Kluyveromyces lactis: one gene and its partners. The protein of the gene in region 7 binds, or shares a complex with, the protein of the main gene of each other region. Links are inferred from orthologs where the notes say so. Each region holds a gene or a part of one and is shown on either strand. Other genes may lie near its edges. The genes, in order: POM34, NDC1, NUP57, NUP1, SEH1, NUP145 and POM152.

What was found.
Region 1: POM152 (region 7) and POM34 share a complex: the UniProt entries of both Saccharomyces cerevisiae proteins name them as parts of the nuclear pore complex. The link is inferred for Kluyveromyces lactis from reciprocal best matches to the Saccharomyces cerevisiae genes POM152 and POM34.
Region 2: POM152 (region 7) and NDC1 share a complex: the UniProt entries of both Saccharomyces cerevisiae proteins name them as parts of the nuclear pore complex. The link is inferred for Kluyveromyces lactis from reciprocal best matches to the Saccharomyces cerevisiae genes POM152 and NDC1.
Region 3: POM152 (region 7) and NUP57 share a complex: the UniProt entries of both Saccharomyces cerevisiae proteins name them as parts of the nuclear pore complex. The link is inferred for Kluyveromyces lactis from reciprocal best matches to the Saccharomyces cerevisiae genes POM152 and NUP57.
Region 4: POM152 (region 7) and NUP1 share a complex: the UniProt entries of both Saccharomyces cerevisiae proteins name them as parts of the nuclear pore complex. The link is inferred for Kluyveromyces lactis from reciprocal best matches to the Saccharomyces cerevisiae genes POM152 and NUP1.
Region 5: POM152 (region 7) and SEH1 share a complex: the UniProt entries of both Saccharomyces cerevisiae proteins name them as parts of the nuclear pore complex. The link is inferred for Kluyveromyces lactis from reciprocal best matches to the Saccharomyces cerevisiae genes POM152 and SEH1.
Region 6: POM152 (region 7) and NUP145 share a complex: the UniProt entries of both Saccharomyces cerevisiae proteins name them as parts of the nuclear pore complex. The link is inferred for Kluyveromyces lactis from reciprocal best matches to the Saccharomyces cerevisiae genes POM152 and NUP145.

What each region holds. Positions count from the first base shown.
Region 1 is NC_006042.1:1,442,090-1,445,242, reverse strand, and holds POM34 (Pom34p), read right to left. Parts: upstream 1,689-3,153; coding exon 501-1,688; downstream 1-500. Other genes in the region: MEU1 (S-methyl-5-thioadenosine phosphorylase), read left to right, coding at 1-355; PSR1 (phosphatase), read left to right, coding at 2,439-3,153. UniProt on the Saccharomyces cerevisiae protein: Functions as a component of the nuclear pore complex (NPC).
Region 2 is NC_006038.1:139,184-142,734, reverse strand, and holds NDC1 (Ndc1p), read left to right. Parts: upstream 1-1,230; coding exon 1,231-3,051; downstream 3,052-3,551. Other genes in the region: recombinase RAD52, read right to left, coding at 1-322. UniProt on the Saccharomyces cerevisiae protein: Functions as a component of the nuclear pore complex (NPC) and the spindle pole body (SPB), probably by playing a key role in de novo assembly and insertion of both structures in the nuclear envelope.
Region 3 is NC_006038.1:975,810-979,472, forward strand, and holds NUP57 (FG-nucleoporin NUP57), read left to right. Parts: upstream 1-1,447; coding exon 1,448-3,163; downstream 3,164-3,663. Other genes in the region: Golgi transport complex subunit COG2, read left to right, coding at 443-1,156; MSS18 (Mss18p), read right to left, coding at 3,345-3,663. UniProt on the Saccharomyces cerevisiae protein: Functions as a component of the nuclear pore complex (NPC).
Region 4 is NC_006039.1:1,148,553-1,152,510, reverse strand, and holds NUP1 (FG-nucleoporin NUP1), read right to left. Parts: upstream 2,801-3,958; coding exon 77-2,800; downstream 1-76. UniProt on the Saccharomyces cerevisiae protein: Functions as a component of the nuclear pore complex (NPC).
Region 5 is NC_006042.1:649,975-652,645, forward strand, and holds SEH1 (Seh1p), read right to left. Parts: upstream 1,536-2,671; coding exon 501-1,535; downstream 1-500. Other genes in the region: ALG7 (UDP-N-acetylglucosamine--dolichyl-phosphate N-acetylglucosaminephosphotransferase), read left to right, coding at 1,827-2,671. UniProt on the Saccharomyces cerevisiae protein: Functions as a component of the nuclear pore complex (NPC).
Region 6 is NC_006041.1:1,686,104-1,690,346, reverse strand, and holds the start of NUP145 (nucleocytoplasmic transporter NUP145), read right to left. Parts: upstream 2,801-4,243; coding exon 1-2,800. Other genes in the region: kinetochore-microtubule binding complex subunit SPC105, read right to left, coding at 3,131-4,243. UniProt on the Saccharomyces cerevisiae protein: Functions as a component of the nuclear pore complex (NPC).
Region 7 is NC_006042.1:1,588,323-1,592,361, forward strand, and holds the start of POM152 (Pom152p), read right to left. Parts: upstream 2,801-4,039; coding exon 1-2,800. Other genes in the region: putative divalent metal ion transporter SMF3, read left to right, coding at 3,956-4,039. UniProt on the Saccharomyces cerevisiae protein: Functions as a component of the nuclear pore complex (NPC).

The DNA of each region.
Region 1 (3,153 bases), about 150 kb from region 7:
CCGTCTGATGGGTGGAGATGTCATCAACATGAGTGTGATCCCTGAAGCGAAATTGGCTCGTGAATGTGAAATTCTATACCAGATGGTTTGTATGTCTACCGATTATGATGCATGGAGAGACGAAGAAGAACCAGTGTCTGTACAAACTGTTATCCGTAATTTACAGAACAATGCCAAAAATGCTAACCATTTGGCATCCCGGGTCATTTTAGAAATGGCAAAGCAACTTCCTGAATTTATGAACAACGGTGATGGTCTAAAGGATGCCATGAAGTACTCCATTTCAACAAAACCTGAAGCCATGTCTCAAGATGCCTTGGCCAAGCTAAAGTTTCTATTCCCAAACCATTGGTAACGCTGTAAATTTCTCTTCTATAAACTTTATAAACTATACGCGGTAGGTAGCCATGTAAGTAATAACATTCTTATCATAACTGCTATCAGAGGTTCGAAACCAAAAGAAGAAGAAAAAGAATCGTTCTCCGAAGTACGCATGCTTTTCAGCGCTTCTTCATCGCACTTGGTGAGTCCATCATATAAGTATACCGGTTGCTTGGAATATATCCGGGACGAGTGTCTGGCTGTGAGCGTGTCGATGTGAATAAAGTTGTAGGAGTATTGGAGACATTTGTTATGTGATCGACACCAAAGGCGTTTACTTTCTTCGGTTGTAAAGAGAAAGATACATGATTTTTTTTCACTTCTGCTTGCTGAAGGGTATTCAACTCACGCATTTTCATTGGAGTCTGTAAAGATTTGAATATGAAAGGCTTGTGGCTGGATTTTGATTCTGCTTCATTTAAGGATTTCACTTTAGAGTTACCTATATTAATTGAAGGATCAAAGGATCTACCATAGTCGGGGGTGCTTTCCACAACCCCTAACAAGCGTTTTTGATTCTCGGTTAGATGCAAATCTGATATGTCCGTATTTTGTGCTTTTATCAGCAAGTTCCAAAGACACGATGCAATGTTAAAAATGACAATAGTATGGAATATACTGGTTGCAAATTGCCAAGAAAGCATTTGGAACCAAAATGAATTGATGTTGGCATGTGGGTTAATCTTATAAACAACGTTTTTCAATACGAAAAGATACAGTTCGTCTCGAAGTTGGGATCCCCTTTTAGTGAATTGGAAGAATAATGACACGAATTTGTATATGAGATTCCAAATCATTGCCAACACTACATTAGTCAACAACCTTCTCATCTCCAACTCTTTATTAACCATACGAGATGTGAAAGCAGCCAACGCCGGGTTTTCGAAATCAGTCAATTTATCATATGCGGAATCTTCGGAAAAGTTCAAATCCGTTTGTTGTTTCTGTCCCACCGGTTCGTCCGGTAGCAGATCAGAATTTGTCACTGGTGCGGTATCTTGCTGTGTAGAATATGCCTGGTTACTTTTTCCTCGAAAAACAGGGGATGCGGTATGTGTATTAGTTGATGCTGAAGGTTTCGCGTCAAATCTGCCAGAGAACGCAGATGCAGCAAACACAGAGGAAGAATCTGACTTGGAAACATCAGTCTTGCTGGTAGGATCACTCAATACCTTGTGTTTATACAATGCAGGCGACTGTTTGATAGCTTTTTCCCTTAAGGATTGAAATTGCTGCTGGCTCAAAGGCCTATTGGGAGTCTGAAAAGTCTTGGCCGGTGTGCCAGGCGCAGAAATTCCATTATCCATTGCTACTCTCACCTTTTTCCTTTATATATCTTGATCCCTGTATTTACGGGGTAAACTCTCGATCAATTACCACAGTAAAAACACCACTAATATCAGGATATGAAACTTACCGTATCCAGGTAAAAACTGAACGATTCTTATTTATTAACATTGAAGAACTAGCTGTGTTTTTAGTAGTTAAACTAAGAAGTGAATCTTCAAGCCGGCCTCTATCTCTTTCAAGTGAAAAACATCTCGTTACCCGCACCATCTTGTGCCAGGGAAAAGAAAAAATTCTTTTTGCTTCGTTTGGTTCGTTCTTTAAGTTTTGATGTTCTGTTCAGCATGGAAAAACCAGAAACAGTCAACTTTTGCAGATTAAACAATTTTGAGAATAGAACATTGGTCATTGACTAACTCTCTTATTTTAACTGCAACTTAATTTTTTTTGGAGGCCATTTACAGAAGGGCAGTAAAGTCTTGAAAAGTACCGGGATTTGTCAGTGTACGGGTACTATATCAAGGGGCCAGTGGTTTCAGGGAGCCTGATTGGTTTGTGTATTTAGGTTTTTTTTGTTTGCTATCTTTCTTTGCTTAGATAGAAAGAAAGAACATATATTAATAACAGTATCAATCCGTTTGAAAAACCAATCTGATTAATATCGGTTATCCATTTTTTTTGGGCTCAGTGTGTGATTTTTGGTTTCTCTCACTCGCTCAGTGTCTCGATTTATTTATAGGTCGCTGTTGATTTTGTTAGGAATAAAAGTGATGGGATTCATTGCATCTTTATTGTGTGGTTCAAGCGATTCGGATAGCTCTAGGAAACAGAAGGGTAGGAATTCATCGTCAAGTAACAATAGTAATAAAGGTTCTAGTGGGTCAAGCTCGGAGAAAAGTAAGAGCAAGAATACGCTAAGTGCAAAGAAGAGTGGACGTCCAGGGGTTGCTGCGACTCATTCAAGACAATCAGAAATTCATACTACGTTATCCAATTCTACAGCCAAGATGCATCTGAAAAAGAAAAATGCGGCGAACAAGCATAGCTCAACTGTAGCGGCTGTTGCAAGTGCGCCTGTTGAGAAGAGTCCGCTGTCGAAGAATACGGCTGCTGTTAGTAATAACGATACTGATAGTGATGTCGTTGACGTTGACATGGTTGGAGAGGAAGATGACGATGTGGATGTAAAAGGGGATGAAAAGCAAACACTGTTGGTATATAACGCTGAATCTGATACAAGTACTGGCACAACTGCAGACACCGCAGTGTCTGCAACTCAGCCAACTGCAGAGGTCACGACCACGATTCACGAGACTGAACATACCAGTAGTGCGGATGACTCCGAGGGCATTCATAGTCAAGGCGTTAGCGATGTAGAAATGACAAATGGGGAGCCCGAAGATGGGGAACCTTTGGATTTGTCTCAATTGCAGCCAGATCAGGCCCATGCACCGGGGTGCAATACCTTGTTGTTGCCGAAGGCCG
Region 2 (3,551 bases), on a different chromosome or scaffold from region 7:
GTTCATTTTCCACGGTTCCATACCCAATATCCTCTCTGAACGTTCCATCGGCTAACGAAACACGAACAATAGCGGTGCATCCAATACTAAATCGACCTTGCCTTTCGTCAAGGAAATCTATAGTGACATTTTTAACCTCCGTAGACCATCCGTCATACCCAAAAATCTGGTTTGCTAGATTGATTGCTTTCCAGCCTTCGATATATGCTACTCTACTGGATCCAAATCCTACTCTCTTTGAAATATATTCTGGTCCTAGCTTCTTATCTAACTTCGTTTGAATGTCATCTTTACCATTCTTGCCACTTCCTGTATCCTCCATATCTAACAAACTGCAAAAAGGAAAATTGATGCGAGTCGCACTAATATACCAATCCACAAAATCTTCTACCAGTTAAAGACACAAGCAAGGTGGTATCCTGTCCAATTCAACAGCGCAAAATCGTTAACTGTTTGACCTAGTTTGTTTAAGTTTTAGTTTATCAATACAGTAAATTTGAAAAAAGTAAACAGAGCAGTAGCTTAAATCACGTAAACTTGAAAAAGATCTGTTTCTATCGGTATTAAAAGACGCGAGAGCCATGTAAATTGAAAGGAGTTTTGAAAGGATGGCAATGAAACTTAACATTATCATTATAGGATTGGCAGTACCTGTGCTGTCATAGAAGTACTTACATTGGTCATGAAAGTGGCGACGCAAATCATTCTAATATTTTCAGTACTCTATGAGTGACCTTGTATATATTTGTATATATCTTTTGGACAAGAATATCAACTTTTAAGCGTTAAAGTTGACACGAGACCATTGTTACAAGAAAGAGAAAGAGAATATGACACATATTTAGTTGATTTACTTATTTACATGTAACAACTGTTTACGATATCATCAGGTTCGCGTTTAGCGTCTATATGTTGAGACTGACCTCACTGACAAGGAGGTGATTGTCTTTAGTTTCGAGTTACCATGCAAATCAACTATGACATTGGCATAAGAGGGTTACCCGAATATCTAATTTTTTTATGACGCCTGATCTCTAGATCACAACCTGTTAAGAACTTAAAATGCTTGAGATGATATACAAATAAATAATATAAGTAACTCGGAAGGTAATTGATTGTCCTAAAGTCCAATTGACCTTTGTCTGTTTTAAGCATCTAAAATTACTCAGCTTATTGCTATACAGGCTGTACTTTTACCTGTGTTCATCTTTGATTGGTTTGTTTTCATTGATGTCTTACGTGCAGAGTTTAGGACCGGTTGCACCGCAACTGCGTGATTCTCGTTTTACTTACCATCGGATATTCAGTGGGGTATGCAAGAGCAGGTTTAATAATTTCGCCAGGGGTTTACTCTTCAAAACAGCGGTACTTGTCGGTTTAATTACAACCATTACGACACAATGGGAGTTGTCGAAATCTCAGAAATTACTGTTATGGCCAGTAAAAATATTATCTTTCTATGTTGCAATGTTGATGCTAATTATTACCAGGAAAAACTATCTTCATGTCAATTACCTTGGATATACGAGCTGGATAAGCGCATCATATGGCCAATTAGTCTCCCGTAAATGGATCACGTACCTTTTAGTTTACGTTGTGAGCGCATTCTTCCTTTCTTTGACATTTTCCTGTTGCTTTTTCACTCCAGGTACTGGTTCAAGAAAGCATTCACAGCATTACGAATTTTGTTGTCAGTTTATGGTACCTTTTTTGTATTCCATCCAACATGTACTTTTAGATCTTGACAGACTTACTTTCAACTACGGTGCTCAACATCAACATCCTCAGAAGTTTATGGCTTCAAGAATCCATGATTCATTTTTGAAGTGTCTTGTGTTAACTGCAATACTCTTTCTAATTACTCCAATTCTATTAAAGCTTTTATTCGGACATCTAGGCTCTGGTATATGGTCCCATATTAGGATTTGTTGTATATGCTTGTTAATCTTGCAAACATGGGACTTTACAAACATTGGCTTCGACGCCTTTCTATCAATTGGTTGCTTGCATAAAGGTAAACCAATCTCTTCGTTATCTCCAGCTTCAATGGAGACATTGATCACTGGGTTGAGATCAGAAAAATTATTTGTTAAACTTACTGCATTCCAAGAGCTGGCCTACAGAGCCACTTGTGCAAATGTGGAGTTGAGGCTCCCAATTTACCACAATACCTATAGAAATAGCTTGATCTGGCCCGGTATACTTAGAGAATGTATGATTGTTATTCAAGAAACCAACTATAACGTATCCGATTTCTTGCTTACATTGAAGAAAGAGATTGATCCCCAGCCTACAAAACCATCTTTCCCTATCAATAGATCGGTAGATCATTTATTCGGTACCAACCATACTGTCAGAAAACAAAATAATGATGAGGATTCCAGATTACCTGGTGCTCCTCCTACTGAACAAATAAATTCGGATCTACCATCAATGGCTTCACATAGAATCGTTTTAGAGGACAGCAATGTTTTCAAAAACAACGATACCCAAAGAAGTCCGAATCCTCCGAGATTTATCGACTCATACAAACAAGCAATTTTTACCAGACAACCTACAGTACTTTCTGTTTTGACTGATCTTTGGAATTGGATACAGAGAAGAATCAGTCAGTACTTTTTCACCATCGATTCAACTGATAACACGAACAAGAAGCTCTCATTGTTTGAACTTTACCATATATCAAAAGTAAGGGAAGCTGAGAAGTTGTGTCCTGTGCCAGTATGCTATGCCGAGTGTGTGTATTCGATGATGGGTTTTATAGTAAATTCTGTGGATGAAGATCCCAAAGGAGCTGTCGTATCTTCAGTCGGCGAAGTATTAAAAATTTTGGAAAGATCTATTGGCTCTTTAGGTTCGTTTACTGAATTAATATTGGATGGAAAACAAGAAAAGGATTTGAATGATGTCATAAGTGTGTTGTATGACTTATGTATCAATGCATTTTTGGAAATAGTTTTGAAGTATGACACTCTCCTTAACGATGTTTATTTGGACGAAGATGTCGTGAAGTTAACACAGTGGTTGCAAAAAATGTCACAAGATATTTAAACATAGCTTGGCATCAATTGGATTATTCCCAACAGAAGCATGTTACTCTAATAATATTCAAAAGTTATATTGCTTTCATTATAAAAGAGAAGAAATCTACCCCAAACTTCTGGTATGTTATAGGAAGATGTTACATGTACTGAACAAGCGAGCGGAGAATACTTGCTTCTTATTCCAGAAGTCGGAATTATTCATGAAATGTTTTTATTTTCCATTAACCTTCACTAGATCATAATGACCATTGAGGTTAGTATTTGAGTTACAGCAGAACTTTTGTTATAACAAACTTATTTTAGCATTACGTATGAATAAAATACAAACCAAAGCATACAAACGTTATCTTCATTTTTACAAAAAGGTCATTACGTATTTAAAAAGACTTTTTCCATCGGTTTATCAATTCATCGATCCGCACTAGCTTTTCGTGCACAATTAACGTTTCTCGCCAACCGTAAGTCTTATAAATTTAATAGCAACGTCTGTAGTATCTGCTCAAGAAG
Region 3 (3,663 bases), on a different chromosome or scaffold from region 7:
TTAGCTAAGAAGACAGAAATGAAACACAGAACTAGCACCATCAAGTATTAGTTGACACTGTTATAGTAGTGACAGTGCAGTGCATGCAATTGCCACAAGGTAAGGATGAGGTATTGGACCAAAAGTATCTAAACATTCTTGATTATAGATTTACTTATCTTAAGGAAAATTAGTCACGTGATGCGCAGTAATCATATCACCCTTATTCATCTGTATTGCACCATCAGTTTAGTAAGTGTGTTCCGAAAACTACCCATTCAAACACATGTATCGGTCTTTGCCCTTGTTATATACATGTATTTTTCTAACTATCAATTCTATTCAGCGTTCAAGATATTTAAAGGTACGAATCGATCCTTATATTCGAACGATCATTACCAGAAAAACGGAACAAGAGCGAAAAGAGAGGGAAAGTACTGTGTGAAACTACTCTCACCCAGCGATGACCGACCTAAATGATGATTTGGATCTACCAGTAACTAAAGAACTAAGCAGAGAGTTAGTTTCCAATTTTGTACGGAAGAATGGCTGCTTAGATATAGATAAGCTATTACTTGAGAATAACTTCCAATACGTATCGTTAGACGAACTCTCATATGAAGTATCTGCCTTGAAGCAATCAATGGAACAAACTATACTGGATGAAATCAATGACAATTATCCCGAGTACATGGAAATATGTGACAGGTTTAATACTAGTGACAATAACGAGGTGTTGAATAAGTTAAAACAAGTCTTGAATGATCTACAACAGTTCAACAAGCAATTACTCCAACTTTGTGATTCCTCAGTGGCTGAAACTAGAGAAAAAACAGTAACAGCATTATCCTACCTAAAATCGCTTGATAACCTATTTGGTAAACTGGACGATATCACAAAGCTATCAGAATCGCTAAAGATATGCCAGCAACTTGTATCATCCTTACAGTCTATGGTGCAGCTGAATATCGACGACGAGCTTTCCTTCACAGTGGCAAAGCAGCTCTCTACTATACTAATACGTTGTGACTACAGATTTAGACATTTGGAAGACAATGATTCCACCCTAATTACTCGAATGAGAAACGACTTTAAAAGTATTCTCGAGACCGCAAAGCCTTTAATTAAACCCGTTCTCGAGAAGCAGAACCAGCAAACTCAAACCATAAAAACTTAAATATATGATAAATGCGAACCCAATTCAAATAAAGTGAGATTCCACCCCCTAGGTGGAAGCGAGTCTACGCTATGAGTATCCTTACGTAAATGTGTATAACATCTCTGACTTTGAGCCTCATCTCATCATAATGAACGATCTTGAATTTTTCAGTTCTTCACAACAAAAGCATCAACAAACATCACAACTAACATTAAATCTATAAGAACGAACTGACAATATAGCAGGGCCAGCGTACTAACAGAACACTGTGAATATCGATAAGGTTCAATTTTCTGTCATCAATTAGCCATGTTTGGTGCAGTGAATTCGGGAAATAGTTCAATGAACAATGGCGGCGGTTTATTTGGTAACAAACCTGCTGCTGGAAACACAGGGTTCCAGTTTGGCGGTCAACAACAACAACAACAGCCACAGCAGCAGCCTGGTGGTGCTGGTAGCTTGTTCGGACAGAATAACAACTCGATAGGTAATACATCAAACACTGGAGGAGGTCTGTTCGGAAGTACACAGCAACAGCAGAAACCTTCTACTGGGGGTTTGTTTGGCAACACGAACTCTGCCGCGGGAGGAACAGGCGGGTTGTTCGGCCAATCCAATCAGCAGAATAATACCAATACTGGGTTGTTCGGCAATGCAAACTCTACAGGAATACAGCAGAATAATACTGCCCCAACCAGTGGAGGTTTGTTTGGGTCCAAACCGGCAGGTGGATTGTTTAATAACACACAGCAGTCCACCACTGGTATCCAAGGAAATCCCACTGGAGGTGGATTGTTTGGTAATAATAATGCGAACACAGGAAGTTCGGGTGGACTGTTTGGTAATTCCGGAAATACAAATACCAGCGCTACTTCTGGAGGTCTTTTCGGTGGAAACAGAACTGGGGGCCAATCCACAGGCGGACTTTTTGGCAATAACACTTCTAATAGCGGCACTACTGGAGGACTATTTGGATCCAAGCCTGTTGCGCCAGCTACTACATCTCTCTTTGGCCAAAATCAAACACAATCACAGCAGCAACAGCAACAACAGGGCCAGCAAGGTCAACAACCAGGGGGGGCATCCTTGTTTGGTTCAACGCCATCTACTACAATGCAACCGTCATTTGCATGGTCTAACACACAACAACAAGTACAGCCCCAGCAACAGTTGCCGTCGGTTCAGCAACCACAACAACAGCTACAAATTCAGCAACAACAGCAACAGCAACAAATATCTAATTATCCGCAACAAATCCAAGAACAAATTCTAAAGTGTAAGGAATCATGGGTGCCAAGTGAGCAAAGATCAAAACTTAAGACGTTTGTTTACAATAAATGTACGGAAACTGAAGCTATGTTGTATAATAAACCATTATCAATCTCGCAGGATGATTGGGATCAAGCGCTCATGAGTAAACCTGGTAATAATACTATTCCAATTAGACTACTAGGTTTTCAGGATCTCAATGATCGTAATCAATTACAAAAGCAGCATGTTGCACAGGCTAGAGTTCTTTTGGGCCAAATTTTGGAAAAGCTAAATCAAGTTAACACTAAGCATGATTTAGATACTCAGTCAAGGATAGCAAAAGCTGTTTCCCGTAACACCGTCATTGAAAATAGAATTCTCAAATTGGCTTCTCAGCTAGCCATATTGAAAAGCAAGAATTTACCATTGAGCCTACACGAAGAGGAGATGATGAACAAGTTTAATAAACTATTACAAGAGAGCAATGATCCAGCAGGTCTAGGGAAAAACAACGAACTTTGGGCAAGACTCTCTGTATTGAAAGAAAGAGCCAAAAATATAAGCGAGCAACTCGATAGCACTCTTGTTGTGATTAGCGAAAACGGCGGCAACTCGAACGGTAAGAAAAATAATCAAGACGAGGAACTAGAAGACCGGGTGAACAAGATAGCCGAAATTTTAAGTAATCAACAACGTGGTTTATGTTTCTTAAATGATGTTATAGAAAAGGATCAGAAACTTGTCGACGAAGTTCACACAAAGCTAAATAAGTGAACATCATCACCACATTTCTGATTCAAGAAATGTTATTAATCTCGAACAATTCAAATGCATGAAAAGAGAGCAGTTTCCTCAATAATTTTGTCTTGCTGACAAATGTTTATAAACTTGTGTACTTTATTCTAAGAGAAAGAACTTACTTACCGTGCATTATGTCAAGACATGACACTTTGATTTATAGGCCTGAAAATCCATGGAAAAGGGTTGATATCCTACTTTTTGTAGACTCCTTGAACTCTTTATCAGGTAATCTAAGCCAATGATTCATTTCGTTTGGTAGCTCCGTAAGATTTTGGAATAAACATGGGATAATTTGAATTGTAGGTTTATTCGATGGAAATTCAATAAACCTTTTACTATAGGAAAGTTCCCCCGTAAAATTGCCTTCAGGAGTTTTAAATCTCTCTGTATCCTCCAAAAATAACCACTTGAATAAGTCGCGCCTGTGGATGTCTTTAACTTTGCCAGATAACGTTCGGTAGTACTTTACCGGA
Region 4 (3,958 bases), on a different chromosome or scaffold from region 7:
AATGTAAAGATGTCGGAAGGAATGATATCATGCAATAATTGTTACAATTGAGATGCAAAGCCTTTGTTTTCCTTTATTAGCCTCTTCTTCTTCTCCTACCGGGCATAGCAATTTTGCGCTGCGGTGGAAATGGTGCCCCTCCTTGAGGAGTTGAAGCCTGCGCATTGAATATGTCCGCTGGATTCTGCTGACCAGCGGAAAATATGGACGATGGATTCTGTTGCGGGGTTTGGGATCCAAATACTACAGAAGGACTTTGAGATGGTTGACCACCAAAATTAAAATTGGCAGCGGCTGAAGGATTAAATGTGTTTGTCTGCATAGAATTACCGAAACCGGTACCCAATGCTGGTACCTGGGGAGTGGAAGAAGCTGAGCTTCCGCCGAATGAAAAAGGTACATTAGGCTGATTGGAACTGGTTCCAAATGCAGGTGAACTGTTGGTAGTGCTTGGCCCACTTCCAGTAAAAGTAAATGGTTTTTGATTTTGTTGTGCAAAAGTAAATGTAGTTTGAGTAGGCTGCGTTACACTTATCTTATTCCCAGGTTGAACGACATTATCAAATGAGAATGGGACAGGAGGGTTGCTTCCACGAGCAGATCCAACATTTGATGAATCTGAAAACGGAGTCGGAGTAGTTTGTCTATTATTATTTTTAAACCCTGTCAAATCAAATTTGAGTCCGCTGACAGGCTGGCCACTGGTGTTCTGACTTGCAAACGAAGGAATTGCATTGGAAGCTTTTTCAATTGAGGGCTGCTGGATGGCAGAGGAACTTCCAAAAGAGAATGCAGGTTTCGAACTCATATCACCTTGAACAGGTTTCTTTGTGGTCCCGAACGAAAATGATGGTGCAGCAGCTTCTTTTGGGGTTGTATCAGAAGGTAGGGCTGCTGGGGTGCTACCAAAGGAGAATGCAGGTTTTACAGCAGTACTGACGGCATTTTTGGCTTCCTGCTTCTCTGTCGCGTTGTCTGCTGAAGGCTGTTGGTTGAGAGAAAATGCTGATGTATTCGAAGCTTGCCCAAAACTGAAAGGTTTAGCTTTTTCCTTCTCAATATTTTTTGACGAATCATTTCCTACAGGTTTACCACCAAAGCTGAATGATGGCAGCACTGGTGCTTCAGTTTTTGTACCATCTGGTCTCTTTGCGGCAGGTTCAGTACTACCACTGGAACCAAACTGAAATAGTGGTTTAGGTGTATTAGTTGATTGAGAGGTACTCAATGGGGTCAGATCTGGAGTAGATGATTTTCCTTTGTTGAAGCTAAACATAGGTTTTGACATTTCACTGACATTAGTTGGTTCGCCTGCATCTTTTTGGCTGCCAAAACTGAATGAAGGGGCGGGTTTAGCTATCTCTTTGCCTTCTGAAGATTTTCCAAAACTAAATGTAGGTATATTTGATATCCCAGTTGTATCCGCACCAGTGAAGCTGAACTTAGGGAGGCCGTCTTTAGCCAGATTTTCAACAGGTTCGGGGGCGGATTTCTCAAAGGGGTTTTTGGATGTTTCAGCTTTTTTGGTCTCTTTCTTGGTTTTTGATAAATCACCAAAGGTGAAAGAAGGAGCACCATCTGAGATTTTTGTGCCTCCATTGGCTGTAGCTGTGTTGTTTTTTTTTACCGCATCAAAAGAAAAAGCAGGTTTCGATGGTTCAGTTGATGTTTCCAGCGACTTAGAACTTGTGAAGGGAAATGGTTTAACAGTGTCCTCAGTAGAACTAAATTCTTTCTTTTTTCTTGGTAACTCTTCAGAATCCTGAGAAGGGGCCGTTAATTTCTGTTTATCATTGTTGAATAAATCCAATTTGGTATTTCCAAAAGATATATTTTTGGATACTGTTGGTTTGGTAGGTGTATCTGTGCTACCTGGGAAAATAGAAGTACTGTCTCTATTCATAAAGTCAAATCCAACACTTGGGCCGTTAGCGTTTAAAACTTTATCTTCTGATATTTTTTCCTTGACGATAGGTTTCAATGATAGTGTTGGTGCAACTACTTCTTGTGCTATCTTTGGATTTTTTTGCAATGTCTTTCCTTGTAATAACCTGCTTTGAACATCAGTTAAGCCAGATCCACTAGGCACTCCTGTTTGATCAAAAGTATTGACATGTTTCTTTGAAGAGGTACTCCTTTTTAGCAATGGATGTGGTAGTTTAGGAGATTCCAAATTCCCCATTGAGGCAGATACTGGTTTCGTCTTTTTGTCGTTTTTCAAGATATCATATTCTGATAAATCGTATTGAAAATCAGCTTTCCACTTCTTGGACTTTGGGTTATCGGAAACCCTATGATTTTTCTTGTCACTTTGTAGTTTGTTGACGAGTAAATTCTTTATAGTAGCATTTTTGCCGTCTGTTAAGCGATATAGGCCGTTCTCTGCTGATTGTAATTGTCTTTGTAAAAGTGGGAATTGCCGAGCACGGCGCAGTTGCTGCATCCTTAGTAGCCGCAATCTTTGTTTCGGTTCTATCGTTAGTACTGGAGGCCTTACACCATGTTCAGAATCCCCTTCATACAAGAAAATATTCGGTCTTTCATCATAATTGATATCATCAATGCCATTGTGATTTAACGGGTGATCGGTGATTTTTTCGTTATTCCAAACCAATTCCTCGTAACCGTCGAAGCCACGTTTTTGCCTCTTGATGACCACTGATCCTGAATCACTGATATCTTCATTGTGCGACCTTGTTATATTCGGATCTTCGCTATTCGTATCGTCATGCTTGGTAAATAATGATGCCAAAGTCGATGAAATCGATCTTTTGGGTTTTTCCAGATATGATGCCGACATTATTCTATAAAGTGGCCGTGATATGCGGCAAGTGAACCAGAGTCCAATTCAAGTTTTCGATTCCTATTTCTTTCGAAACTGCTGTTTCTGTAACTTTCTTGCGTATTAATAAAGGTATTATTCGATATTTGATAATTCGATATTTCAAGTCCTAACATTCCTAGCTGTTATTTTTTTCCTCTTACAGGGTTATAATCACTTTGTACGGTTTGACACATATTGACCTAAACTAACCAAGGCGTCAGTATAAGAGAGTCTAGCTAGGAGATGGACATAAATTTGCATTAGTTCCAAAACATCAATATGGGGCTCGACTATTATCCAAAATTTATTATAACGATTCTACATTATGAAAGTTTAAAGATTTGCCGTCCACTTAATACAAAAGTACCCTTTTTCGTTATTTTAGCTTTCAAGTTTTATATAGAACTCAAGTTTTGTTCATTTTTCTATACATAAGGCCTGAAAGTGACATGAGGGATCGAAAAGAACAAATTGATATATAAGTAAAGAAAAACTTAACGTTAAACTGCAAGAACGCACAGGATAGAACGTAGTGTGCATCAATGCCATGCTTAACAGTACAAGTGTTCTATTCTTGTGAAATTCAGATTATCACGTGACCGATTTCTCCCCATCCTGTCATACATTCGTCCCATCTTGTTTTTTTTTTTTTAGTTTGGGGAAACCTTGAAGAACGCGTCATGGAGGAAATCAAGTAAAAAGTGCAACACCGAATGTGGTTATGAGGCTTCGACACCACAGAACAGACCGCTTGATTCCGAAACGAAGAGGCCATATCGGTCAAGGAAAATCCCAAAAAACACCTTGAAGGGACAGAAGACTGAAACGAACACATAAGTCTAAATCCGAAAAGAAAAGAATCATTACACTAGAAGAAAATGGGCAGTGGAACATCGCACGATGCCTTCGACTACGAGTCATGAAGTGGGAGATCGATAAATGTCATAAATGTCATAAATGTGCTATTTTTATGGCTGAGCTCTGCTAATGGTATCATATAGTTTTTTTTTTTTTTTTGTAGTTTTCAATATTCCCTGATCGAATCTGGGTTGCCTCGAGAAAAATGTGATATTAGAATAGCGTATATCCACTGTTCAATTGAAGAAAACTGAAAAATTACAAACGAAGGCATTT
Region 5 (2,671 bases), about 940 kb from region 7:
AGAAAGCAGAAGTGCTAAGGAACGGAACCAACAATCAGGAACAGCAACGGAACGACAGATTTATCGGCCGGACGATGAAGAACTGTACATTCTGGTAACGGCGTTATAACAGTACTGTAGGTATATCATATAAGATTTTATGATGACACCGGGTATATCTGCATCCTATAAGATTTATAGATTAGTAAACTGTCAGTGTTTATTGCTATGTGTCAAAGCATGCGGAAATGTTCGTTTCTGATGCAATGTATTTCATGTGATTACAAAGCAACGGCTGGATGTGTGCAATTTGGGGCTTAGAACTTAGAATTGATCGGTACATGATAAACTCCAAGCAGGTGAGAAGACGGCTTTAAACCACCAATGTGGCGTACCTTTTAGCTATAAGGTTTCTATTTGTCAGTGTTTAGATTGAATCTCGAACCCTTGATGATATCTGGTCACGTGGTCAATAATTACATACATTTTAACATCACATTATGAAGGGATATATACATAAATCACCTTGCCGCTTGTACCACACTCATACACCTGAACTCGTTCGAGTAAGATGCTTTCCATAACCGAATCTTACCATCATCTCCGGTACTACTTAGGATTGTACCTGTGAGATTCCAAGATACGGACCATACCTCGCCCTGATGGTCTGAATGTTCGCTGATCAGCTCGACGTGAAGGTTAGCCACTGATCCATCTGCATCAATGGCGGAGCTGTCAATGGGTGGGCCATCACGTTCTATGTTTGCATTGTTATCGTTTTCTTCGTTTATAATATTCGTACCGTTGTTACGCGATTCGGTTACTTTGAATATTCTTAATTTCCCATCTTTGCAGCCCGTAGCGATCAATTGGTACCACCTGCCCACTGATGGTGCCCACGCAATGGATCTGATTAATCCAGTGTGACCCTTCAAATGTCCTGCTGGGACCAATTTTCCCTGTTTGTTTCTTTGGTAGATAGTTGCCTGATCCATGGCACTGATAACTAATCTTTCTGTTGAAAATCTGGAGGGACACCAGGACAGACAAAAATCCGATTGTAGATGTGATGCAGGTGGAGTATTTAAGACGGTAATCTCGCTTGTCAGGGTCCATGACCTAAGATCGGAAGACTCTAACGCATCATAAAGACGTAACTTACCATCATTCCCCAATGCAGCTAGCCTTAGTCCCAAATGCGATGGAGCAAATTTTACGCTGAACAACGGTCCTGTCGCATCGTTCAACGTACAAAGTTTTTGCCAACGCTTTCCGGATAACTCAAGGGCATCTGGATCCTCCTCCCATAGTTTGATAGTCTTATCGTATGAGACACTCGCGATGATACGACCAAATTCTGGTGCGGCCCAATCAAGAGACACAATACTGCTATCGTGAGCCTTCCAACTTTCGCTCAATTCCCACTCATTCGTTTCCTTGTCTAGCTTGAACACCTTGATATGTTGGTCGCTGGAACATGTTGCGACTCGACGACCGTAAAAGTCATAACTAATATCGTGCACTAGGTCTGAGTGTCCTGTCAAAAACGGTTTCATGATGATAAAAGATTTTATCGGATTTACCACTAGATTGGTCGATAGAATAACTTCAACCTTCAAAGCCGTGAAGTGTAGATATCTCTCAACTCAGCTCAACTCTCTTTCCCTCTATCATGCAACTTTTAGCTTTCGTTTTCGAAAAGTTCGAAGTTCAATGTTTAAAGGATTCATATATATCGAAAATCAAAACACAATAATTTAAGAAAGCGCTTGGCATTTTAAATGCTAAGCTAAAAAAGTGCTTACTGAAGCTTTATATATAGCCAGTACCAGCTCAGGGAATGAACCATGCTTTCTTATTTTTTGCTACTGTTTGCTATTGCAATAATTGTATATTTTAAAGATGTATCTCCTATCGGATCTGCAGTAGGGTTTTCTGTAATTGGCTACGTGGCAGTTGATGTATTGATCCCACAAGTAGGTGATTCCTTCATCAAGATTGGTTTATTTGGCAAAGATATGAGTAAACCTGGTAGGCCAGTGATTCCAGAAACAATTGGATCTGTATCTGCTACAGTGTATTTGTTTATCATGTTCTTTTCGATTCCTTTCATGTTTTACAAATATTTGGTGATAACCTCTGGAGGTGGAAATAGAGATCTGGTTTCTCAAGAATCGACGGAGGAACAGCTATTCCCACATAGTAAGTTAAGTGAATTTTTAAGTGCACTTTTATGTCTTGAATCCACGATATTACTAGGTGCTGCTGACGATTTGTTTGATCTTCGCTGGAGACATAAATTCTTCCTACCAGCAATTGCTGCGATTCCATTACTTGTAGTCTACTATGTTGATTTTAGCGTTACCCATGTTTTGATCCCTAAGTTTGTACAAGAGTTAATTGGTACAAGCAAGACATCCATTGATTTAGGCGCTTTCTATTACTGCTATATGGCTTCGGTCGCCATTTTCTGTCCAAATTCAATTAATATATTGGCTGGTGTCAATGGACTTGAAGTTGGGCAGAGCATTGTCCTAGGCCTAATATTTATGATTAATGATGTGTTGTATTTAACTATGGGTGTGAACGGACATGCTCGTGAATCACACCTATTCTCACTTTTATTGATCGTCCCATTCCTCGGAGTCTCACTAGCATTGTTCAAATGGAACCGCTGGCCTGCAAAAGTATT
Region 6 (4,243 bases), on a different chromosome or scaffold from region 7:
AAACAGATAAATGTTTGTTTTTGGAAATTATAGCCGTCTTTGAAGCATTTACAATGTCGTTGACAGAGAGGAAAAGAAGTATTTTCTGAATATCAGAAGCAGTGGATAGCATAGAATCAATCTCAGCCCTTGTTTCATCGACTATCCATCCACAGAGCTTTGCATGCCGTTGTTTTTTAATAAGAACTTTTTCAACTTCTGGGGAATTGACAGCGTATGGAAGGGAAAGAGGATCAAACAAAATGGATGCTAACTTCAATATTTTGTCTTCATTTGGGACATCAGAATATGCAGAAGCAAGATTATCGAACTGTAAGGAACATTTCCCAACAAGAGGATAACCATTTGGTCTGGAGTTGACTATGGATGTGTTCAGATAAGAGGCGAACACATTGTCAAAAGAAGATTTATTTATTGGCAAGTTGGACTGAAACACGATCTGCTTACAGCCTGACAACTGTGATGGATCTTTGAGCAATAATTGCCCGTTAATATTAAACTTCGCAAACCACATATGTGAGTTGATTCTTCTTTCTCTTTTAACAGATTGGTATGTCAATAAATCTTTCTTAAATGAAGGGAACAAGATATCGTCCAAAGAATTACCTTGCGTGTTTTTGAGTAAAAGTGGCTTGGAATACACAGACTGTTTGGAAGTACCTGCTAATTGTAATTGTTGCAACCAGTTCGATGATGTAACAAGTTTAGGTGCAGCCTCGAGGATATTCAAATCATCTTCGTCTAAATCAGAAGGTTCGTAAGGTTTTTCCTTGATAATAAGTGACATGTCTTGGTCAACAGAGTCGGATAGTACTGGAACCAAATCTAGTACTTCTTTCTCCATTGCAAGAGCCTCTGCTGCTGTGAGGTCTGCATTGCTTGGTACCTCCGCTTCAAGGGACGTGCTAGACTTCTTCACACTGTGGCGACGCTTGGGAAAGGCCAGAGGTCTGTCTCTTATTTCCTCGGCGTTTATTCTTTCTGCTTCTTCAGCATCCACCTCCATATCTTCTTCATTGACCATTCCCCAAACACTGAAATGTTTAACTCTAAAAGTCCAAATTCCACCAAATGGGTTATATGAAATGAATTCCATTTCTTTCATATTCCTTAAACGCTTGACAAAATATTGAACTTCAGCAATTTTCGAGTTGTCTTTAATGGGTTCTTTTGTTTTTTTATCGATCGGATAAACATTTTCCAAAGTTATTGTAGCAGGTACATTGACACCATAACCAACATCCGGTTTATTTTCGGTATCAGGATAGACTTCCACGGTTCTATTCTCATTAAAAATTATTGTTCTTCCGAATAGTTCTTCAAAATCATCCATAAATGCAGTTAAGTCAACTTCATAGTCAAAACTGATGGAACCAAAGTTTTTGCGACCAATCACAAAATTGGGCACAACCGTGAGCTGGTTTTCCGTAAGTTGCTCTAATTGTTCGATAGTAGGTGAGCACCAATAGTCAGTTGCTTTATTCGTTATTTTGTGTTCTTCATCCAGACAGACTTCCGAAGTTGGCTCTGTTGGACTAGTTTCTGAAGGATGTGCTGAAAAAAGAAGTTTATCATTCCTTGGTATACTAATCTTATGATCTTTCTCGTCCATATCTTTCATTATGGTAGCGGAAGAGTGACCGTTAAAGAGTTTCATCTTTTTGGCAGCGCTTCTGTCTGTATCAATGGTTAATTTTTTCATGCTTGAAACGTCCTGGTTAAAATAAGAAGCCAGTGAGTTTGTCTTATTGTTAATATTCTTCCCTTTTTCCTTACTCTCATCTCTTGAAAGTGCCGAGAAAGTATCCTGTTGGGCTAAGTTTTTATTTGATGGGGAGAACAAACCATGTGTTGTTTCTCTGCTCTTCAAATTCTTAAGTCTTGAAGTTAGCTTCCCTATCAGTGTTGAATTGCCTGTGGGAGGTAATATATTGTTGCTGATCACTGATGATGCAGTTGAAAATTTTCTATTTTGTTTCGAGTCTGAGACAGGCTTTCTCTCGTTACTCAGGGATGTAGTAATAGATTCTGGCATTGACAGCACAGGATTTGGACTTAATTGCAAACCGTATGGGTTGTTCGTTGGGGGTTGGCCAGGTTGCTGTGGCTGTTGTAGTTGAGAAACATTGAACAAGCCTGTTGAATTTGTAGTTGGTTTGCTGGACGAGAATAAGCTCCCTGAACCTTGTGTTGATGAATTTCCAAACAGTGAAGTCTTTGGGACTGTTGACGCCGTGTTCGTGGTATTATTAGAAAATAGACTATTAGTTTGCGATGGAGTATTTCCGAAAAGTGACCCACCATTGTTTGATTTATTACCAAATAAACCACCACTCTGTTGCGTATTTAATCCGTTTGATTGGAACGTATTGTTTGTTGTCGCACTGGGGTTATTTCCGAATGAGATACCAGTAGCTGTCTGTTGTCCACCAGAATTTCCGAATAGCTTGCCAGCACCATTGTTCTGCTGGGCATTCGACCCTGGGCCAGAAAATAATGATGTGTTGGGCGTTGATGCAGCGGCGTTATTAGGCTGGAATAGAGAATTCGTCTGTGGTGTATTCTGGGAAGCATTGTTGTTTCCAAAAAGATTCAACCCAGGCTTGTTGTTGTTGTTCTGAGCATTGCCAAATCCTGTTGGGTTTCCAGGGCTCGGCGTGGAGAGTGTATTAGCACTAAACAATGTGCCAGTATTGGGTTTTCCATTCAAAACCCCATTGTTCGCTGGTGTAGAAGTTGTAGGTGTTGAGGTGTTCGCGTTGCCGAATAACGAACCAGGCGCTTTGTTATTACCAAACATAATCAACTTGTTGTTGAATTTATGATGATGATGTTTAAACTGTACAGATTCAAAAATGACAGCAGTAACAAAAAACTGAGAAATTTCGTCTGCAGCAATGAACACCAGCTATGGAATTGGTTTTTAGAAGCTCTGCGATCAATGATAGCCAAGTAGTGCACTTGTTAGAGTTCAAAAGGTGTTTTGTTTACACTCATCTTACTGTTTAAATGTTATAGAATAACAATTTTTTGGAATATTGCCATTCGAGAGAAATTTAAAGAAATATCGTACGAAACTATATACTGCGTAATGCCTAAAACTTGCGCTACAAAAGCTCGGATATCCATATCAAAGAGCTATATTACAATTGGAGAGCCATTTAAATACCTTTTCATATTTCTTTATGAGATTAGACGTTAGATTTCTTGCTGTTTTTTCTTCGCCATAGATAATATTAACATTGATGGTCGCATTTTTAGAGTGACATATCAAATCAATAAACCTTTCCATAGGCAAAGAAAGGGCTACTTTGCAATGATATTTATAGTCCAAATGCTGGAATGTGACATATTTGATCTGAGAATTCTGTGATGGGGCATTGACGGTTGCCGGGAATACGAGTTTTAATTTTTTGAATTCTGAAATGACAATTGAAAGATCTATCAGTTGACGTTGCAAACTTGATATGCACTGTAGTCCATTTATGAAGGTTCGCTGGCAAGAGTTGATCCAACAGTTTATAAATTCTCTTTCAAATTGGTCTATTCGTTCTTCTCTAATACTGAATGAAATACATGACGGTTGATCAATTTTTGAAAGATCAGCTGTCACAATAACTTTGTCGTCATGTAATGATACAGATAGGACTGGACCAACTAACTTTCTGAACTTTATACCAGAAATGCTTTGGTAAAGCTGATGGACTAGTTTAAGCTTTGCCACATCATATTCTGTGCAAACTTTGCTTTGTTTCAAGTCCTGTCGAAGTTGAGCAATCTCTTCGTTCACTTTACTCATCTCCAATTTTGCATCTTGTATTTTTTGGGTAAGTTGATCTTTTTTAGTGGTCAGCTGGTTCAAGTCTGACACCTTTAGCATGTTCTCCCTCAAGTCTCCTTTCAATTTGTTCACTTTCAGGAGAGTCGTTATGTTCTCTTTCTTGTTACTAAAAACATCGTTGTGCTGCCGAAGAACATCAAGTTCTTTCATTAACACCTGTTTGATGTCACTAACTCTTATTTTCACGTCATTTATTTCATTCATGTATTTCATGATCTGGGCATTTTCATCCACCAAGATAGCTATATTTTCTTCCAGGACTGTTTTAATTCCTTTCAAATGTTGTGATCTCCACTCAAACCAGACTTTTTCAGATTGTAATCTAGCCATTATGGTTACTAATTCTAACTTTTCGTTAATAGCATAACGGGTATCAGTATCTGCCTCAAAATACTCTTTTAT
Region 7 (4,039 bases):
CATATTCTATCAAAAAGGGTGGTATGCCGTTTAGAGACATATCGATGGTTTCTTCAAACCCTTGGCAGACATCATTTTTAATGTAGTTGAAATCGTCCAGTTTTGAGATTCTGTTGTGCTCAATTAATGAGTACGTAGGTTTTTTGAGATAACTTACTTGGAAAGTATGGTTCGGATCTACGATCTTGCCAACACAACTCTGGTCACGAATTGAAGCCAATTTATACAAACCTTCCTTCATAACCTTTAAGGCCGGTTTATAGTTGGAACTGAAAGTCACCTCTTCAGTTTCGAGAACGTCTCCCTTGTTATCCAAATGGCTATAGGTGATTCTGAAAGGTCCTTCACCTGAAAGTTTTAATGGAAGTTCTGCGAATGAAGCTTCTTTAATGCTGACTTGGGAGGAAGATTCTGACACAGCAAAAGAAGCAGAAGGAATATCTCTTCTAACGGTAATTCTGGCATCAGTACCACTTAGACCTACCAAACATCCACTGGAATCCTTCACAGAAACTAAAGATAGGATATGATCACCACCAATGTTGAAATTAGGTGTTTCGATCTCATAGGAAAAACTTTGAATATTCTCTTTATTAAACGAAGTTCTCTTATTAGAAGAAGTCTCTACTAAATCATAGTTTAACGTGAAAGGAGGCTCACCACTGAATTTAATAGGTACCTTCGTTTTCCCTCCAAGACATAATTTTGTCTCTAGCTTCCCTGAAATCTTTGCACTAGGTTTCACTCTCATGCTGGTTTTGAATGTGTACTCTTTCGAATCTAAGGAGATAGGAGATGTGAAAAGTTCATTTGACAATTCGGTGAAAACAATTTCATAACTGCCTTCTGATGTGGGTGAATAAGTAAACTGGTTTCTGGTTCCTTGGGAGCTGAATTTTTTTGTATCATATAGTTTACGTTCTCCTTGCTCAGTTTTGTATATTTTTGTTTTGTAGTAAAAGGGAGGAACACCGGTAAAAGTAAGATCAAAATTCAAGCCGACCTGTCCAACACATTGATCTAATATTGGGGTTGATCTTACAGATAATTGAGGAGGAATTGGTTTAGTTATCAGAACATTAGATTTTCCAATCACGGCACCGTGGCAATACCTCGATTTTACTGAGAGCAAATTATAAGAACCTGGCTCATCAACTTTGAATTCTAATGTTTTATCATTGAATTGTTTTTCGAAGTATCTCACTTTGGAGTTGTTATCTTCATGGGATAACTGAACGATGAATGGAGCATCCTTGTTAAAATCGCCAGAGTCCAATTTGACTATTAAAGACCTTCTAACAGAACTGTCGGGATTCATTTTTTCATCCAAAGATACTCTTGGTAAGTCGTGCACGTAGAATCTGTGGATCAAATCATACTTTTCTCTTACTTGTGATGATAATGAGGAAAAATCAATGCTATTACCAAATCCATCCACAATTCTTTCGATAGAGTAAACATGTTCACCGTATTCTTTGGTTGAAGTTTCTAATGCGATATCTACAGGGTACGAACGAGCCCATTTTAAATCTTGGACATCTTTTTGACTGTAGAATTTTGAATTCGTTAGCAAAGGTGATTCAAAATATTCTGGTTGAAGTGATGAATCTTCTAGTACGTATCTTTGGCCATTGATTGTCTTAGTATAAGTCAATTTAAGAGGTGGAGCACCTTGTACCTGAATTGAAACCTCATCATTATCTCCAACACATCTATCATTTTCTCCCTTTCCGTTAATGGAAGCCAATGGGCAGTGAGGTAGCACTAATTGGGATTTGTATATTCTCAAATTGATATTATTAGTGTCTAGAACGGTTTTCAACTGGTAAAACCCGATTTTGTTAAGAGGTACAGTAAAGTAATGTATGTTACGATCAGTTTCTTCCTTTGAAATATCTGCCTTGAGTGGTTTTAAATCGTTCTTGGTGAAGTTCCACAGTTCACCTTCATTTGAGTATAGATCTCTGAACTCTAACTGGACTGTATTGATTGTGGATGATGAGTTGACTCTTATAGGTAGTTCAATGGCAGGACCAGATTGGTCCAGTGGTAGACAAAAAGACGAGTGGAAGGGATTCAAATATGCTGTATTTTCTGGCAAAATTTTAATGGTATGTGCACCTTTGAAGTGTTCTGCCGAATTCATAGCCTTTCTTGGGTTGACAGAGTCACCTGTTAAGGACAAGTCTCTGCTGTGATACTGTCTCCATAATGACAATAGAAGCGATACCAATGGGATACTTTGTTCACTGGAGATAAACAGTGTGAGGGTTGCGGATGAAATAATCTGCAAAAGCACTATCAGTGGTTTGAACTTTAATTTGGGTATTTTGAACGTGGGGAGACAGTAAAAGAACAAAGAGTCTATTACCAAATATTTTGAAATGAAGTTTAACCTTGAATTCGATAGAAAAATCCCAGATAATGGTATCCCACTCTTAAGTAGGATTAGATCGTATAGTTTGTAGCATTGAATGATAAAAAAAACGACGAAGGCTAATCTTCTCTGACTGGCTGCATCGAGAACTTCAGTAGAAATCAAAGGTAGCTCCTTAATCGATTCACTCGCTGGGCCATTCTTTGCTCTACTAGTGCTTGACTTCGATTTTCCTGTGTAATTGGAAAAACCGGATATACAAAATGGATCTTCTTTTGGTTTGTTGATCTCTTCATTTCTTCGATCGCTTATTCCTCCTCTGAACGAGTCTTTATCTCTATTTCCAACGTTCCTACGCCTACTATCACTCCACATCGATGGAGTATGTGTATAGAACCCATTTGTTCCGAAACTGGAATCCATTATCTAACTGTATATGCGTCTGAACTTATCTCAGCTTCCCTTTTCAACAGAATATGATTCTAAAGTGCCAATACGCAGAAGTTTAATAGAAAAAAATGGGATCACGCATACAACTTATCACTTAGTCGCTCGCTTTTTAATTGACGATTGGTATGTAACGGGTGCCTGGATCGCGATTGCTTGTTGATCCTAGCCTGCATCTGCATACATGAGAAGACCAAACATAAGCTTAAAGTTTGAACTTCTGTTTGTTGACAAGATCTGAATCGGATATATCATTATGTACGATTCAGGTTTCGCTTCTGATCAAGGTACAATGGTCAAGGACGCAGCAACTCTATATGATCTGCCACTACGTTGTGGTCTTAATATTCGAATTATAGCCTCTTGAATTCTTCGCCTATCCAGAATTACCAGTGAGATCGTTTGCATCGATATTATAATGTCGATTCCGTTGCATAGCTCCATTGCTTACGTCAAATTCCCGTCAAATTCCCGTCATCCTCTCATAAAACCCTAGTCAGAAGCAAGGAGGACATAAATGCTAGTAAGCAAATGTCTTTACCCCATCTGGCTAATGAATCCTGAATTAGGTAAGTTTTATCATGACCTCATCTGATAAAAACCTCGGCAAATTTGAATGCCAGATTCAGTAATAGTAATGATAGCTAAGGGTCCTAACATATATAATATATATATTTACCAGAGAGAAAAAGAATGTTTTGGTTGGAATCGAGATACTTCCATTGTCCAGGATCGTCTCCTTTTTTGAATCACAACTGGAGCACTGGAACTTATTTGTTTTCAACACCATATACAGCTCTCACGTTCGTCGTATATAACATTACAGAGGTGCATTTGAATCTCCTTCTATAAAAGAAGTTTAGAAATTTAAGGTTTTGATTTATTTGATTTGCACTCTTACAAATAAGTCATTTACGAGAAGAGAGTTTGCTAAAACACGATACGTTAGAATCTGTAAGAGTTTGAGGCGCTAGCTCAATAGAGGTCAGATATTCTGTGTTGTAAATTGGTGATAGTTCTGCTGTTTTCATTCTCTGTTTATTGGAATTTAGATAAAGGAACGAAAGACGGTAATTTATTCTTGGCACGTTACTGTTGGTACTTAAAGATTATCTAAACTGTGAAACTGCCATGCTTATACTATCTCGTGTATTCGAGAGGAACCATGTTGAAATTTTGAGGAAGTTTATGAAGTTTGTCGGACCTGGGATCATG